Linked DNA regions of Arabidopsis thaliana. The protein of the gene in region 1 interacts with the protein of each later gene in a pairwise test. Each region holds a gene or a part of one and is shown on either strand. Other genes may lie near its edges.

Evidence for each region. The genes of interacting proteins can lie anywhere in the genome.
Region 2: the proteins of DRIP2 (region 1) and HSL1 interact in binary tests that used the Arabidopsis thaliana proteins (3 or more experiments, as listed by UniProt).

The regions. Positions count from the first base shown.
Region 1 is NC_003071.7:13,023,994-13,031,166, reverse strand, and holds DRIP2 (DREB2A-interacting protein 2), read right to left. Parts: upstream 5,257-7,173; 5' UTR 4,724-5,256; coding exon 4,606-4,723; intron 3,187-4,605; coding exon 3,087-3,186; intron 2,663-3,086; coding exon 2,335-2,662; intron 2,190-2,334; coding exon 1,777-2,189; intron 1,672-1,776; coding exon 1,621-1,671; coding exon of another isoform or gene 1,617-1,620; exon of another isoform or gene 1,329-1,616; coding exon 1,256-1,328; intron 984-1,255; coding exon 804-983; 3' UTR 506-803; downstream 1-505. UniProt on the Arabidopsis thaliana protein: E3 ubiquitin-protein ligase that acts as a negative regulator of the response to water stress. Mediates ubiquitination and subsequent proteasomal degradation of the drought-induced transcriptional activator DREB2A. Functionally redundant with DRIP1.
Region 2 is NC_003075.7:15,477,560-15,485,392, reverse strand, and holds HSL1 (HSI2-like 1), read right to left. Parts: upstream 6,015-7,833; 5' UTR 5,581-6,014; intron 5,220-5,580; 5' UTR 5,159-5,219; intron 4,899-5,158; exon of another isoform or gene 4,752-4,898; 5' UTR 4,605-4,751; intron 4,412-4,604; 5' UTR 4,346-4,411; intron 4,269-4,345; 5' UTR 4,163-4,268; coding exon 4,044-4,162; intron 3,861-4,043; coding exon 3,779-3,860; intron 3,691-3,778; coding exon 3,589-3,690; intron 3,493-3,588; coding exon 2,966-3,492; intron 2,877-2,965; coding exon 2,780-2,876; intron 2,687-2,779; coding exon 2,512-2,686; intron 2,324-2,511; coding exon 2,247-2,323; intron 2,111-2,246; coding exon 1,793-2,110; intron 1,706-1,792; coding exon 1,656-1,705; intron 1,532-1,655; coding exon 1,418-1,531; intron 1,254-1,417; coding exon 1,186-1,253; intron 1,110-1,185; coding exon 496-1,109; 3' UTR 39-495; downstream 1-38. UniProt on the Arabidopsis thaliana protein: Transcriptional repressor of gene expression involved in embryonic pathways, such as LEC1, ABI3, and FUS3. Repressor of the sugar-inducible genes involved in the seed maturation program in seedlings.

The DNA of each region.
Region 1 (7,173 bases):
CAAGACAGTAAGAGAAACATTGTTACGTCAAGTAGTCAAGTACGTTTGTTCTAGTATCGTATGTTGTGGGGGAATTAGCCTTGTCGAATCTAATTCACATATTATTTTTGTGGAAATTTGACTAATGGATAGTTTATCCGTCCATAAAACAATGACCCAAAATCCAAATTTGGTTGAAGTAAATCTCTATAAATACCACGTGAATTTAACTATGTTTTGTGTGCAAATTTTTTTATTTCCCAACAGTTTAGAAATATCTAGAAACAAATGCAAAAAGACAACCAAATTTCTTCAAAATTATGTTTTAAAAAAAGAAATAAGAAAATTCATCTTTAATTTTGCATTTTGTATTAAAAATTGTTAGAAAACTTTTTTTTTTGGTGAACAAAATTGTTAGAAAACTTTTATACATCTCTCTTTAATTCTTGTATTAAAGGTACACTTCACAAGTTTTTTTTTGGTTATTTTTCTTTTGACTTCTCAATAATGGCTAAGTCATTCGATTCACAAGGATTCCGTGTACTTCTCCATTTAGTCCAAACAAGGAAACAAATATTTATAGAAATGACAACATTATCCTAATCATACATTCAAATATCCAAAAAGGACACAATCTCCTTTAAAAAGCCATTTTTGAATCTTCTTGGATAAACAAACAAAGTGTCTGTCTCACACCAATGTTTCAAATTTTAAGATTACAATTAAATAAATATAAATTGCTAAGTTTCTTTCTACACAAGACATTCCACTGCTCCTGCACTTTTCTTTCTTCTCGGTCTAGAAAAGATTCAATGAATAGCTCTTTAGTTGTTGCATTCAGGGAGCTTCCGAGAATAAACTAGCACCATTACAAATTCCTTTGCAGATGAACCTATTGACGCAGCGACTCTTTGATGCTTAGAAGTTGTTTCCAACCATAGGTCTACTAAGCTGTGAAGCTGCAACGTTGGGATCACTGGTTCTCCCATACATGTTATCTCTACCTGTTTACAAAAAAAAAACATAGAGTAGTTAAGGTTCAACACCGGTGGGTCGAAAAAGTCCCAGATCATAAGATATCACCCGGTACACAAGTCGGAAATAAAAGGGAGAGTTAACTTTAGTTTAAACATTTATGGGGACCTTACAGTCATATTGATAAGCACAAGACTTGAACCAATGTATAGAACTACGGTCTATGTGATTCCATATTAGACCGAGTGGATACCTCATATAAAACAGAAAAGTAGCCACTGCATAAGATAAGATTGCTTACCTCATCTTCACTCTTGAGATCAAGCTTCCTCATGAGGTACTTTTGGATAAAAGAAACTGGAATATTTCCATCCCTACCATATAATGAGACAGGGGATCAACTCTGGCACAATATAATTCTCCCAAACAAGAAAATAGACACCTCCCAGTCAAGGATTAGGTGTGATGGGCCAAAAAAGAAGAAGGCTTTATCAAGAAACGTATACCACAGAAAACAAACATGACATGGAAACTCGGGTAAAACAACTGCGAAATCGAATTCAAAGCCATCAATGCAATAATAAGTAATATTTGATCACAGACTTCACAGTTGACATATAAAAACTTAGTGACAAGAAACAGAGCAAAGCAAAAAGAACAACTTACCTTATTCTCAAGTAGTTTGCTGGAATCTGAGGCAATGATGCTTCTCCTTCCCTGAAACCAGTAAAGCCGTGTCACTAAGAGATAGAAATGAAAAGACACAGAAAATATTGAATATCAGAAGTACTCAGAGTCTCAGATACAGAACAGGAATCTCACTGATTACTTGACGCTACAAGTGAGAACCAAACATGACCGTTTCTCCTCTCCTGTTTTAGGCTTGCTGCACCTGGTAACAGTGGAATTCTAGAATCACCAAAAGTAGATGACCTTTTGCGACGAGTCCGACGCGTTCGTTTAAGTGTAGCAGTTTCTGATGTTGTAGGATCACCGTTATTGCTGATCTCTTCCTCGAGTTTACACTTTCTTTTATGATCCTTTGTTTTGGTTTTACTCCCCTGAACATCATTGTGGGATGCGTTTCCAAGCTCAGATTTTGGGTCCTTTGTTCCGTTTGCCACATCCACAAGAAAATTTAGAGGTTTCCAAAGATGTAATTTGGAATCCCATGGTTCATCAACATCCTTGTTTCTTCGATTAGAGAGGGACTGGTTAGGATTTGCATATGAAGACTGCAAAAAAAGAATTAATAAATAAATAAATGTATGGGGAACTATATAAAGACCATAATCAGTCATAACGTTGTGTTTGGACTTGGTAAAGAGAAAAAGTAAAACATAAAGGTAAAGAGAGAACTGCAATGATCACCTTCTTTACCTGTCTTTTATTCTGAGTAAACTTTTTAAGTGTTTCAGGCGAGCTTGCGCTCTCTACATGATCATCTCCAAATTCTTCTTCCTTCTTCACTGTTCTCTTAGTGAATGAACCACTACCTCTTACATCTTTTCTCGTAGCAGCTTTTGTTCTTTTTCCTGTTGTACCAGCTTGTGCTGAAACCCTGGGTGTGCTTACCACCAAAGACGAGATAGACCTCTCCTTCCTCTTTGCAGGTAATGAGATGGAGGACACAACTTCAGGCGCTCTCTCCTTTTTACGTTTTAGAGGAAATAATTTGGCTCTCAAGTCTTGCAAAATGTGGTCAGGCCTAAAATAAATACATAAGAGTGGTTCTTTAGAAAATGAATAAGTTCGCCACCAACAAAGCTCTTACTGGTGACCAACTAGTAAGAGAGAGTGTAGTACTAAAGAGATTTGTTTCAGGTTCTAACAAAAAATTGTTGGTGTCAGCGAAAGTATTAAACTAGCCAACATATTCAGGTCATAACTGCTTCTGAATCGAAATGACTTTTCTTGATTAACTTCACACTATGCCACAAAAATTACGGAAGAACCTTCCATATGTGGCACACCTCAGCATAATCATGTACAACTTTTCAGCATTATGTAAGAAAACTTCGTTTCATCAACAGTAAGAGCCAAAAGGCTTCTAACAGTCTATACAAGGAATCACTGCTAAACCAAGACCGAGGAGAAAATTGTGTAAGGAATAAAGAAGAAGAAGAACTTACCTTAGTTTCTCCAGTGGGGTACCCCCGAGGTCAATATCGCATACTGGACAGCTCTCTATCTCATCCTCTGTGATTTTCTCATAAATGCATTTCCTACAAACTGCATAAAAGTGATATAAGAACTTGTTTCATTTCAATAGATAGTAACTATCAAGTAAGAACAAAATCTTTTGTAATAAAGGCGACCAACTTACATAAAAACAAACAATTTCTCAGATCAAAAGTTTAAGTAAAGAATGAATAGCATAATGTTTGAGGTTCAATGCAAGTTGGCTCGCTGCCAAGTTTGAATTTATTAGATGCAAGTTAGATTATCGGACTCCTTCCACCAAATCCATTATAGCAAGGCCGATAATTGGTATGGTCTCTACTGCATCAAGTTATATTAGTTGTCATGGCAGAAGCTTGTAGACAAGTGGTTAATGAGCATCATACTGTTTGGTTTTAAAATCAAGAAAATCCATAGCTACCAACCTAAACAAAAGAGATGGAATCACAAATTTGATGGGGATACTGCATTCATCCCCAGAAACAAAACCGTGAAGCATTTAACACCTAATTTTGGCACTGCAGTAACTCAAAAAGAGATTCTGCAGGGCGTTCTGAAAATTTTATTAAATTGAGATAAGCAGTTGGTCAGTTGTACAACGGAACCGAACTGTTAACATTTACCTTTTTAAAATCAGATGGAATGAGTAAAATAATTACAGAGTAACAAGGTATATTTCTCCGTAAACGGTAACAAAGAATTGGTTGTGTAAAGCTTGGAATGGTAGATTGATTTAGACTCCAAAAGGAATATAAACTAAATTTGAATAAATTACAGAGATCAGCAAATACTTCAACATGCAGAAAACTCACTACTAATCTGGATTGTATGTTAAAAGAAATAAATTAAGCCATTCCAAACAGAAAATGATCTAAACTGTCTTAATTGTATAATATCATGTAGAAGAAAGAGGCTGATAAATGCTACTTAATCCAAATATTAACTTACATTAAACCGATGAGAGTAGATTAAAGCACTTGTTACTCGAACTTCCTAACACAAAACTTACAAGTTGGATATAACAAAGCAACTGAATCTAACTAACAACATGATTAGCCAAAACCAAATTTGGACGTCATGAGTTTGACCAAACCATCTTTGACGAAGAAGAAGACACTCACAAATTTTACCTAAAGAGACGAATAAAGGAGGATTCTTGCAGTCTAAATGTAAACAAAGATTACAAATTCTGCTCAACAACAACTATTACTTTAGTTGAGAAAACCAAACAAAACTATTCATTGACTCGAGTTTCATCAAATCGACTGAGACATAGAGGAGATCATAAGTGGCATACGAGACTAACAACAAGAATCATGCAGATATTCAATCCAAATCAGCAAGAGGAAGAAAAAAAAAACACAACAGAGAACCAATCAAAGAAGACGATAAAGACGAGAAATTGCGAAAATTAGAAACCGGGTAAAATCGAATCGAAACGTAAATCGAGAAGGGGAAAGAGGAACTAACACGTGTGAAGACACTCTGAAATGGTAGTGGCGTCACGGAGGAGTTTGTCACAGAGAGGACAAGTCATGCATGCCACCACCGTTTCTCTCTTCACTTTAGCCACCATGTCTCCTTCCATTGCTCTCTTAACGACTCCTTTAAATCCTTGATGTCTATCTAAACGAGGATTGATCGATGAATCGCACGTACTATCCCCAAAACTGCATGTAGAAGAAAAACAACGACCCACCAAAAAAAAGAACCCAGATTTACGTTAAACAACAACTCTCGTGCGAGATACCTACATTCAAATCCAAATCCGATGGAGACTCAAGACCGAATATATCCGTAAAGGGTCGAAGAAAATCAGAGTGAAAGAAGTCTCAATCGGAAGAAATAGAGTGATGAAGAAGAGTCGACGAGGTTGAAGAAGGGAGAATCTGGGGATAAAAATGGAGAGAGATTCGAAGGAATAGGGTGAGTATAAAACAGAGGAGGAGACGATCTGAATCGAGGAAGAAGGTGAAGGTGAAGAAGAAGAAGGAAGGGGTCTCTCTAATAAAGAGGCAAGAGGGGTCTTCGTGTTGAGGAGAAAGAAGAGAAGCGAGCGATACCGTAAAGAGTAAAAGACGTTCCTTTCTTTACTCTGTTTTTATTTATTTCCCAATTGTGTAAATGGGCTTTTCCGAGGCGAAACAATGGTTTAGGGCTGCAAAGTCCACCACCGATTTAACCCTCTCTCCTTTTTTACTGATATTGCGTGATTTTAATCTTTTTATTTTTGTTTATTGACATCATTAGGAAAATTACTTGGAAATAAACAAGATGAAGAGGTGAGTCAATTAATTAATAAAACTTAAGAAATGAAGAATTAAAAAATGAAGAGGAGGAATCAATTACACTTGACAGAGAGTATGCTTCTCAATGATTGAATTTTTGGTTCTAAATATATATGTACAAAAGGGAATTACGAGAAAATAGCATCAAAGTAACCGGAAACAATCATAAATATTATAACTGTTAATAAAAATTAAAACCCTTTAAATAAATAAAATTTGAAAATAAAATATTTATATATATATATATATTGTTTATTATTTCTTTTTAAAATTAACGAGTTTAAAGATGTCTATATTTAACTCAATAATTTTTCGTTAATGAACTCTAATAAATAAGTAAAATCTATATGTCCATATGTTATCTCAAGTAAATTTTATCTAATTTATAACTTGGATGTCAAATTCATAATGGATATTTTGAAACATTTTTCCGAAAAGTTGTAAAAATGGCATAAGCTGAAAAAATCGAATACATCTTATCACTTCGCGATCAATTGGAAGGTCACATATCTCTCGCAAGAGCCAACAGTTTTTATGAAAGATCGACAAGTAGATAATTTAATAGTCCATAAAACTTCTAAAATTCAAAGCTAGCTGAAGTAAAAGTGTAAAACCTTATTAATACCTCAATATTGCTTCCTTTTGCAATTATAATTTAACTGTTTCTAAATGTAGAAAAGCATGTACTAACAAACACTACACTGATTCCAATACTAAATATTGGTAAATTGTTAAATCTTTTTGAGTATATACTTTTCTTATATATCAATCTAACATTTTAGTATCCAAAATTAGTATGAAATTTTAATGGTTCTTGCTAATAAATTTTATTTGTTAGGCAAAAATGAATCACAACATAATACATGTTTAGTTAATAGGTATGTATCGAGTTTCTACTTTATGAATCAAAATAATTCACATCATCACTAAGCGACAAAAGAATTTACATATTTCGTCACAGTATGCAAGACGAATCGTACGTTACTTTTAAAACAGTAGAAATACATTTTTATGCCAACTCGTCAAGTACGTTTGTTATAGTAACGTATGTTAGAAGAACTAACCGTTTTTATTTTATTTTAGGAATTATCCGTATTGAATCTAATTTATGCGTTATTCGGTAAAAAAACGACAAGTAGATAATTTATTCGTCCATAAAACAATGACTATTTTTTTTTTGTAAATAACATTCAACACCCCATAATAGAGAGATCAATCAAATATAAACTCATCCAGGGGTTAAAAATTTCAATTCCCAAATTCGACCTCAAACATTCCAGTTGTTCCTCCAAACTCCAAAGTACAAAGCTGTGAATTTCCCACTCTTGAAAATCATTGACAGTACATTCTATCAACGTGTCAAAACATCTATGGTGGCTTGGGAGAATTTCCACTAAGCCAATCAAAAGAAGTCAAATCTTAGTAAACTAGTAATTTTGCTAGCACATGTACACCGCGCCGCACTATATCTGTATCTCAACATTAATCCTCTCCGTATAAAAATCAAATAAATACATTGATTTATAAATATTAAAAAATCTGAGTTAAGCGAAAAAAAATAAAAGAGCAGAAGTCTCTAAACATGCACGAGGAAGCTCTGAATCTCCAGATATGAAATCGTAGAAACAGACTCTCGCATTTATCGAATCCTATTGCAGAAGAATCTGAAAACCCTAATCTGCTCATCGTTTTCTTCAATTGCTTGTTGAAGAAGCAGAGAATCTCCGAGATCTGTGTTCTTCCCTCTGGG
Region 2 (7,833 bases), on another chromosome or scaffold:
TCATACCATAAGTTTATCACCAAATCAAAATAATAGGATCTCGCGTAACCAATTTCTCTAATTTAAGTAAATCATAAATTTCATAAACAAACTTGAAAATAATAAAAATTATGTACAGGTTCGAATTTTGAAACTTAAGATTGCGATAGATAGGCGTACAAATTTGAAGCTCCACCTCCAGAACCGATTCTCTTCTTAGAAGCTTCATCCATTTCCATATTAGATATAACTATTAAGTTAGTGTCCTATGTATTTTCAAAAACCTCATCAAATCTATTTGTCTCTCTCTCTCAAGCCTCAACTCACCACACACCAAACCAAAACACCAGAAACAAAAAGAAAAGCAAACTACAAATTCCTCATTTCTTCGATCGACAATTGGTAGAATGGTCGTAACCACTCAACCAATTTGAGACGAAACCGAAGACATTTTTTGTGTAAATAAGAAACACATACCACTGAAGAATAAATACTCATGGAGAATTCCAAAGCTGTTTAGTTCACAGGATCATGAGCTCCATTTGTTGTGTCTTTCTCAGTTTCTTGTGCGGCTGAGGACGAACCGTGTTCTGTGCTGACCATATCACTGCTTTGCTGTTCTCCTGCTGTATTGGAAATAGCCTTTTGTTTCAGATATGCTTCCAGAGGAAACGCTGCAGCTTGGAGAAGCCTCATCATGCTTACTCGGGAAGCCCCCGGGTCTGAGTTCAAGTCGATGTTTTCCCCTGCGGCTAGTTCAACCGCTGGAATGCTCTCCACTTCTGTCTCGTCCCTGCACTCTGACTGTGACTGCGCCTGCTGGCTTGCCTGTCCTGCCTCTCCTTTGTTCCGCTTCCGCAGCATGAGCGTCCTGAATCGTCTCTTCACTGCCTCGCACACAGTGCAAGTGCATGACGGCTTGTGTTTGCCTTTTCCGCTCGGTGGTTGGCTGCAGACGATGCACGAACACCCTGCCCGGTGTCTTGGATGCTTGGTCGTGGCTGCAACCGTGATTTCCCCCTGTTCACCGGTTGTGGTGATGCCTGCATTTCCTAAACTATTCAGAGCAGATGCATCCTGCGACTGGTTTAGCTTTTCGTTTGATGATGCCAGTCTCCTCCTTTTGAACTCTGTTGAGACGAAAGTTTCGTTATGTAAAGAAGGAAGTTTCTAATTATACAGACCAATAATAGCTGCGGATTTTACCTTTGCTCTGCCGGACAAGTGTATCCTGTTCTCTTGGAGAGAGTTCATCAGGTGCGGAACATGAAGACCTGACGATATAAACAGCAACTCAAATTATTCAGATGGCCAGTCTCAGTGAGTCAAAAATCTATAATTATCCCATATGTGTAGTCTAAGTTATTTCGGAAAAAAATGCGCAATGTTCTGTGGTAACTAGCCTAGGTTAAACACATGAACATGCAACCTCGTTTACCTGCCAGGATCCAAGAGATTATCAGAGCACGACCACTTTGGTGGAAGAAGAATATCCACCGGCAGCTGTCGCCATTTCCCACAAGCATCACACTGCACCCATTGCTCTTGTTCCCTGAGAATTCATGGATCACATATCAGAACCAAATAATCAGATGTTCATTACTTCAAATCTTTCGATCATTCCAAGGGTGCTTAATTCTTCTGATCCTATCATTACATAGTACATGAGGCCTCACCCTGTTTGACGTGAGACAAAAAGGGTCCTCTTCCCGAAAACTGGTGGTTCCTGGGTAGCAGCAAATACATGATTTCAGAAAATACAGTGAAAAGTTCCCAGCTGTTTTTGATAACTAAACAGTTAACAGTAACTCACGTCATATTCTTCAAAATCTTGATTTTCCAGCGTAAAGATGCTGGGTTTGGTGGATTGGGGAGGCCGCAACAGCTCCTGTGCCTCCTCCCAAGTTATTTTCAGTTCCAGAACATCTACGCTATCAATGAGCAGACGCTTGCTCTTAGTCCCAATGTTCCGAACCCGTTTCCTAGCAGAAGTTAAGGACGACTGAAGAAATAAGTTATCCTTTGCCATGTCCTCAGACTTCTCTAGTTTAGACCAATTGATGTCACCACATCCCGGATTCAAGCTGTTGGAAAACATGTTCAGATTGGGTTCACTGCTTCCCTTGAACATCTGAAGAAACACGGAAAAATATTTCACTGAAAGAATCAGTACGAGAGCACCAGAAAAGGATTCTTTAATTCAATACACTTCACAGTGGCAGTTACTTATGCCTAAGGGGGCAACTCTCAGCTTATTATGCATTTACCTGTGTCGCTGTAGAGTTCGTCGCTTTACGGTATCCCATTACGAGTTTTCCTTCAGGTTCTGTACGGCTGAATGTTACTGCAGAGAACATGGAAAATCCAAGACATCAGACCTAATAGAAAAGTACGGTCATCTCTTCGTGGAATGTATTTCACTGTCCTCATGATTGGAACGCTTTAGTGCCAATGTTTCATTTATCCATACCAGGGTGGGTTTATCAATATGTTATGAATGTAGTTAACGAAACAAAAGGATTTGAAAAGTACCAGTGTCACCAGCTTGCAACTGCATGGACTGTATGCAAGGAGTCACACCCTCCAAAACGTACATCCTGCTGTTATTATTAGGCCAAAACCTGAACTGGAACACCCATTCTTTCCCTTTTATGTCTTGTATCTTTAACGGGAGACCCTCGGGTAGAGATATAGGGGGGAAATATGCCTACATAGAAGCATAGACGGTTATAGCTGATACCTGGCATTTAGATAGCAATAGTTTGGGAATATCAAATAAGCGTACAGAGAAACAAGTTACCTCTGCACATGCTTTCGGAAGAACCAGTCGACCAATACGACCCGCATCGCTCGCACTCAGAACTTTTTCAAAGAGTGGTATAATTTTGGAATTTGAGCTAGGAAAATAAACAGTCAAGGACTCCTTAGCACAGAAAAATAGTGCATAATGGTAGAATAAAAGCAGAAACACGATATTATAACATACAGATGAGGATACTGTCCAGATAATTGCAGCAGCTCTTGGTCAGTAATCCTAGGCCAGTAACGGGGAAGCAATTGGGTCTTCCCGCGACCTTCTGGAGGAGGCCGAGCGACATGAATCTGTGACACCAGGCTCCCACTAGGCTCCATGCCAGCAGCAATGGGAGCTGAATTTGCAGGTTTTGGAAGCAGCTGCCTGGACCGAGGGGCCAGTTGGAAAATCGAATTAGTCTTACTTCTGTCATCAACAGCAGCATCATGAAATGGGCTTGTCATAAGCGTAGGTCCAAGTGAAATGCTCAAGTTTGGCTGTGCAGACAATTCTTTCCTTTCAGTTTTGTGTCTAAGAGCATCTAGGCTGGAAGGAAGCAGCGATTCTTCTTGTTTCATTTGAAGAGAAGAATGAGTGGGGTCGATTCTTTGAAAGTGAAGCAAGTGCTTGAGATTTGTCCTCTCAAGAACACTGCCTACATGCTCTGCTGAAGCAAATGAGGGGAAGTCCTTACCGTTAGATTCATGGCTCACATTCATCTGTAAGAGAGATTACATGAGTATAGTGACAGAGAAACCAAGACCAAGGAAGCATCCCTTGCAAGAAGTTAACTCATGGAGAGGAAATTGTCTTACAGAAATTAGTCCGGATTTCTTGGCGCAACTTATACAGGTAACACCACCATTCTCTAGAAGCTCCATCATAAATCTAGAAGCAATGCATCCACAGTGAAGACGCTGAAAAAAACGTAAATACGTATTAAGGAAAACAATTGAAATACGTTGAGTGCAAAAACATGTGTAGTAAGCCATGGATTTTCGTCACCTTGTCACATGAATTACACTCTCTCCAACCAGATTCCTTGGCATGGAACACTTCACAGAATATGGATTGCTCGTATGCACACCTATCAAAAACCAACATTCACAGAGTTTACTAATAAGTAATCATGAAATATAGATTCCCTTCACGTACCCACTCTTGTTCTAATTGTAAGCAAACCCACAGCACTAATCTATCGCAGAAGTGTTGCGAATATCGAACTGGTCGCAAAAGTATTCAAATTAGACACAAGAGTGAAGGCCCTTACCCACACTTATCGCAGAGAGAAGCTAAATCACCGGATCGCATAGGCCAGCCTTTTTTCCACTCGCCCGACGTAGAGGCCGCTCCGCACAGTGCGTTCATGCAAACCTTTATTGACTCCATAATTGACCAATTGAGCGGCTCGATTCAACTGTCAATAACTTCAAATGAAGCAAGAGCCTTATCGTATTCTCCGCACGATGGTGCTTTAATCCACCGCAACTTTCCTCTTTAATAAAGGCACAAGCATTAAAAATATGCAATGATTAAGAAAACTAATTGGTATCAGAAAAGTTAAACACTTACCAGAAAAGGCAGAAGAAGATGTCAAATATATTGTCGAGAAACTCAATACGCTCCTTCTGTGAAAGACTATATACAAATAAAAACATATAAGATGACGATATATAGAAGAAGATACCAACTGTTATAAAGTAATCAAAATCCGTAAATGAATGAATAGTTAAGGACATTTGATATTGACATCTAAAGATAAGATATCATTGCATCCTAAGGAAAAAAAAACGAAATTAAAGTTCACAAGAGACAAAGAAAATCAACAGACCTTTCGAAGAAACTTGTCCAAAAAAGAGAAACCACGAGTCACTTCCATCTCCTCAGTTTTCAACCAAACCAATTCTAAGCTTAGACATGTCCACACGAAACTTCTCAGTGGTGCAGTGGAGATGGAGCCTCTTAAATAATTGTGCCACTGTGATAAAAACGCACCATCGAAAAGTTGACTGATGAATGTATGGAAGTCCAAGAAGTCTACAATAGTGATAATGAGAATAATATCTTGACTGTGAAAAAGGATGAATTGATTCTGTAGACAAAACTAAGTGCAAACCTTAAATAGTCAAATTATTCAATTGAACGGAAATGATCCATCACCTATCTGAGCTACAGTAGGCTAACAACGATTCCACTACCTAGGCACAATTTCAAGGAAGATATAATTCTTATTAAACCGCTAAATAATCCAAAAACTTGCGAGTCAGCAAGATCTAATCTGAGGATACACATAACTTTTAATGCTATTGAAAGAAGAATATAGACTTGAAGAAAAAAATGTAATAAGCAGCTACATTAAGTAAACAAGTAAACTAAATGTAATACCTTAACAGAGATGACAGAAATGTATGCAGGTTTGTCTCCAGTAACAGGAGAAGATATTTGGCTGCAATTGGAAAATACAAAAATTAGGTGAATAACATGACATATTTGGCTGCAATTGGAAATTCATAAAGAACCAAGGACGACACTTTCTTAAGAAGCAATAAAATGATATATAAATCGAACTAGTTTCATTCTTCTTCAAATCTTTCAACTTTGGTTGACCCAAAAAACCACTGATTTCCAAGTAAAGCTTATAACTTTGTAAAAACACTGATGTAAAGGTTCAATTTTTACAATCCTAATTCCGAAATCTACGGTCTTTGAACAAAAAAAAACATGCATAAATCACCAAGTTTCTGAACACTAATGGCCGAGCAAGTAAATTTATCAGAGCATAATCACCGGAGAGGGTTAACCCTTACCTTGGTTTGTGTGGAGAGAGAGCCGATTGATTCGATCGGAAGAGAAGGGATAGTTTTCGACGGAGAAGTGAAGTTAAAAACCAAGTCAAAGTCGTCTTTACGTCGACCAAGTGAAGAAGATTTGAGCCAATTCAATTGCAGCAACAAGAGGTAGTGGCAAAGAGATTTAGAAATAACGAAGGAGTTGATGAATTGGTTTCTAAATAAAGAAGAAGAAGCCACAATGACTTAGAGCGAAAATCTCCATTACCAACAACAACAAAGGGCTCGTGGAGAAGACAACAAATCTGGAGCGTTAGATTACAAAAAAAAAAAAAATGAAACACAAAGAAACTGCTGACGTCAGCCTGACCTAAAACCCAGTATGCTTTATTTATTTATTATGGATGAGAGAATAATGTAAAGTTTACTCAAAGTGTGACATTTTATGTAATAAGATATTAATTAAAGTGCACGCAAAAGGTCATCTCTGTTTCGACCTCACCTAAGGTTTGCTTCTAGATTTATATACGTCTAAATTAGTATTTTGATTTCGATAATAATATTATTTAGTAAAGCATTGAATTTGAGAATGATGAAGTGGCTTGGTTTCTAGGGTTATAAGACAGGAACCCACGACGACCATCACCAACACATCAGCAGATCAGCTACTAGGTCCAACTCCAACTCTTTATTTTTGTTGGTTCAACAATTTACTGCAAAAGACTTAAAAAAATGTAGCCCAAATAATCATGTCAGGATAATGGACCGAAGATTGGTTGATGGGCCGTTTTAGATCAAAAAAATCATTCCACCTTTGGAAAAGATCTCTTTAGCATATTACTTTAAGGTTTGTTGCAAATGAAAAATAGTTGGAAAATATTTTAGACCCTTAAAAGTCTTATCCGATAGGTAAAGTATTTAAATCAGTTCATGGGTTGAGTTTCATAATTGAAACTAGGCATAGATTGGCCCTTTCCTTTCTCTTTAATAAATACTCGATTCATCCCTTTCTACTGTCTGTCTCAATATCTGTACATACCATTCATTGTAGCAATCACTATACGTACATGTTAATGTCTATGAAGTATGAACAATAATAAGAATTGGGTAAGAGAGTTATATATGTTGTTGATAAACAACAGTGAATTCAAAACTATATAATTTAGAGAGGGTTTGTATATCCCTTTTTTTCCTCTGTATGAGTAATGTGAGAACCAATTATTCGTTTATAGATGAATAATAAATTATCTTTCTGTTTATCGTACCGAGTTACCTACCATATTGCTTAGACTGGAAATGCTTTGTTGGTAAAAAGACATGATTGGTTGAAAAATAGATAAAAGCATGAATGGGATTCAAAAACTAACGATAATTAGGAAACTGGATTACCATGGTTGGTAGGCTAAACCCTAGCTATTCTAATCGCTATTACATTCTCACCTACTTTGCATAGTCATTAAATTTGCATATCCACGAATTCGTACTAATAGTTTCGCAGAAAATACACATGCAATCTTATGAATATTGCTTGATTTATTTAAGAAACAAACTTGTATGCAATTATTGGTATATAAATCAGTTATAACCGAGCCATTTGTCAATATGACTTTGACACATGGGTAAGTCTAAACAACTAATTCATACTCTAGTTATCAATTGTCTCTTGTAAATAATTTAGTACGTATTTTTTTAGTTAGTCTTATAGATGAGTAAATCACCCTTTTTAAAATTATTAGATTTTCGGTTAAATGTTTTGGATTCTAAACTCAAAATTAATTAGCAATATGTGATGAAAACCCTTGTAGTTATGTAATTGCATGAAACAAAAATGATTTCAAATGTTATTCATATGTACTAGATCTTCAAACATTAACACATGAACTAACATTTTGGAATTACATCGATATTCATTTAATTGGATCCAAAAGGTTTCAACTTCTCGTTCTGTTATTAGTTTTTGTTTCCTCTTTTTTGTTTTCTATTTATTTTCACATGTTCTAGCTTCTTAATTCTAAGCTAACTTGAGTAGCCTAATAAACTTGTGTCACATGATGAGGACATTTCTCAAATGGAACATTCAGACATTTACACTCCCATACGTTGATATCATGTTATTTGCTATATTAGTCTAATATTGTTGCCTTTCAGATTTCACATATGAAATATTCCTTGTTGTAACCAAGAACCATCTCTGTGTATTTTTACAAGCATAAAATAGTAGTTGACAATATAAAAATAACTATCTGATGATGCAACTCTAGTTAATATATC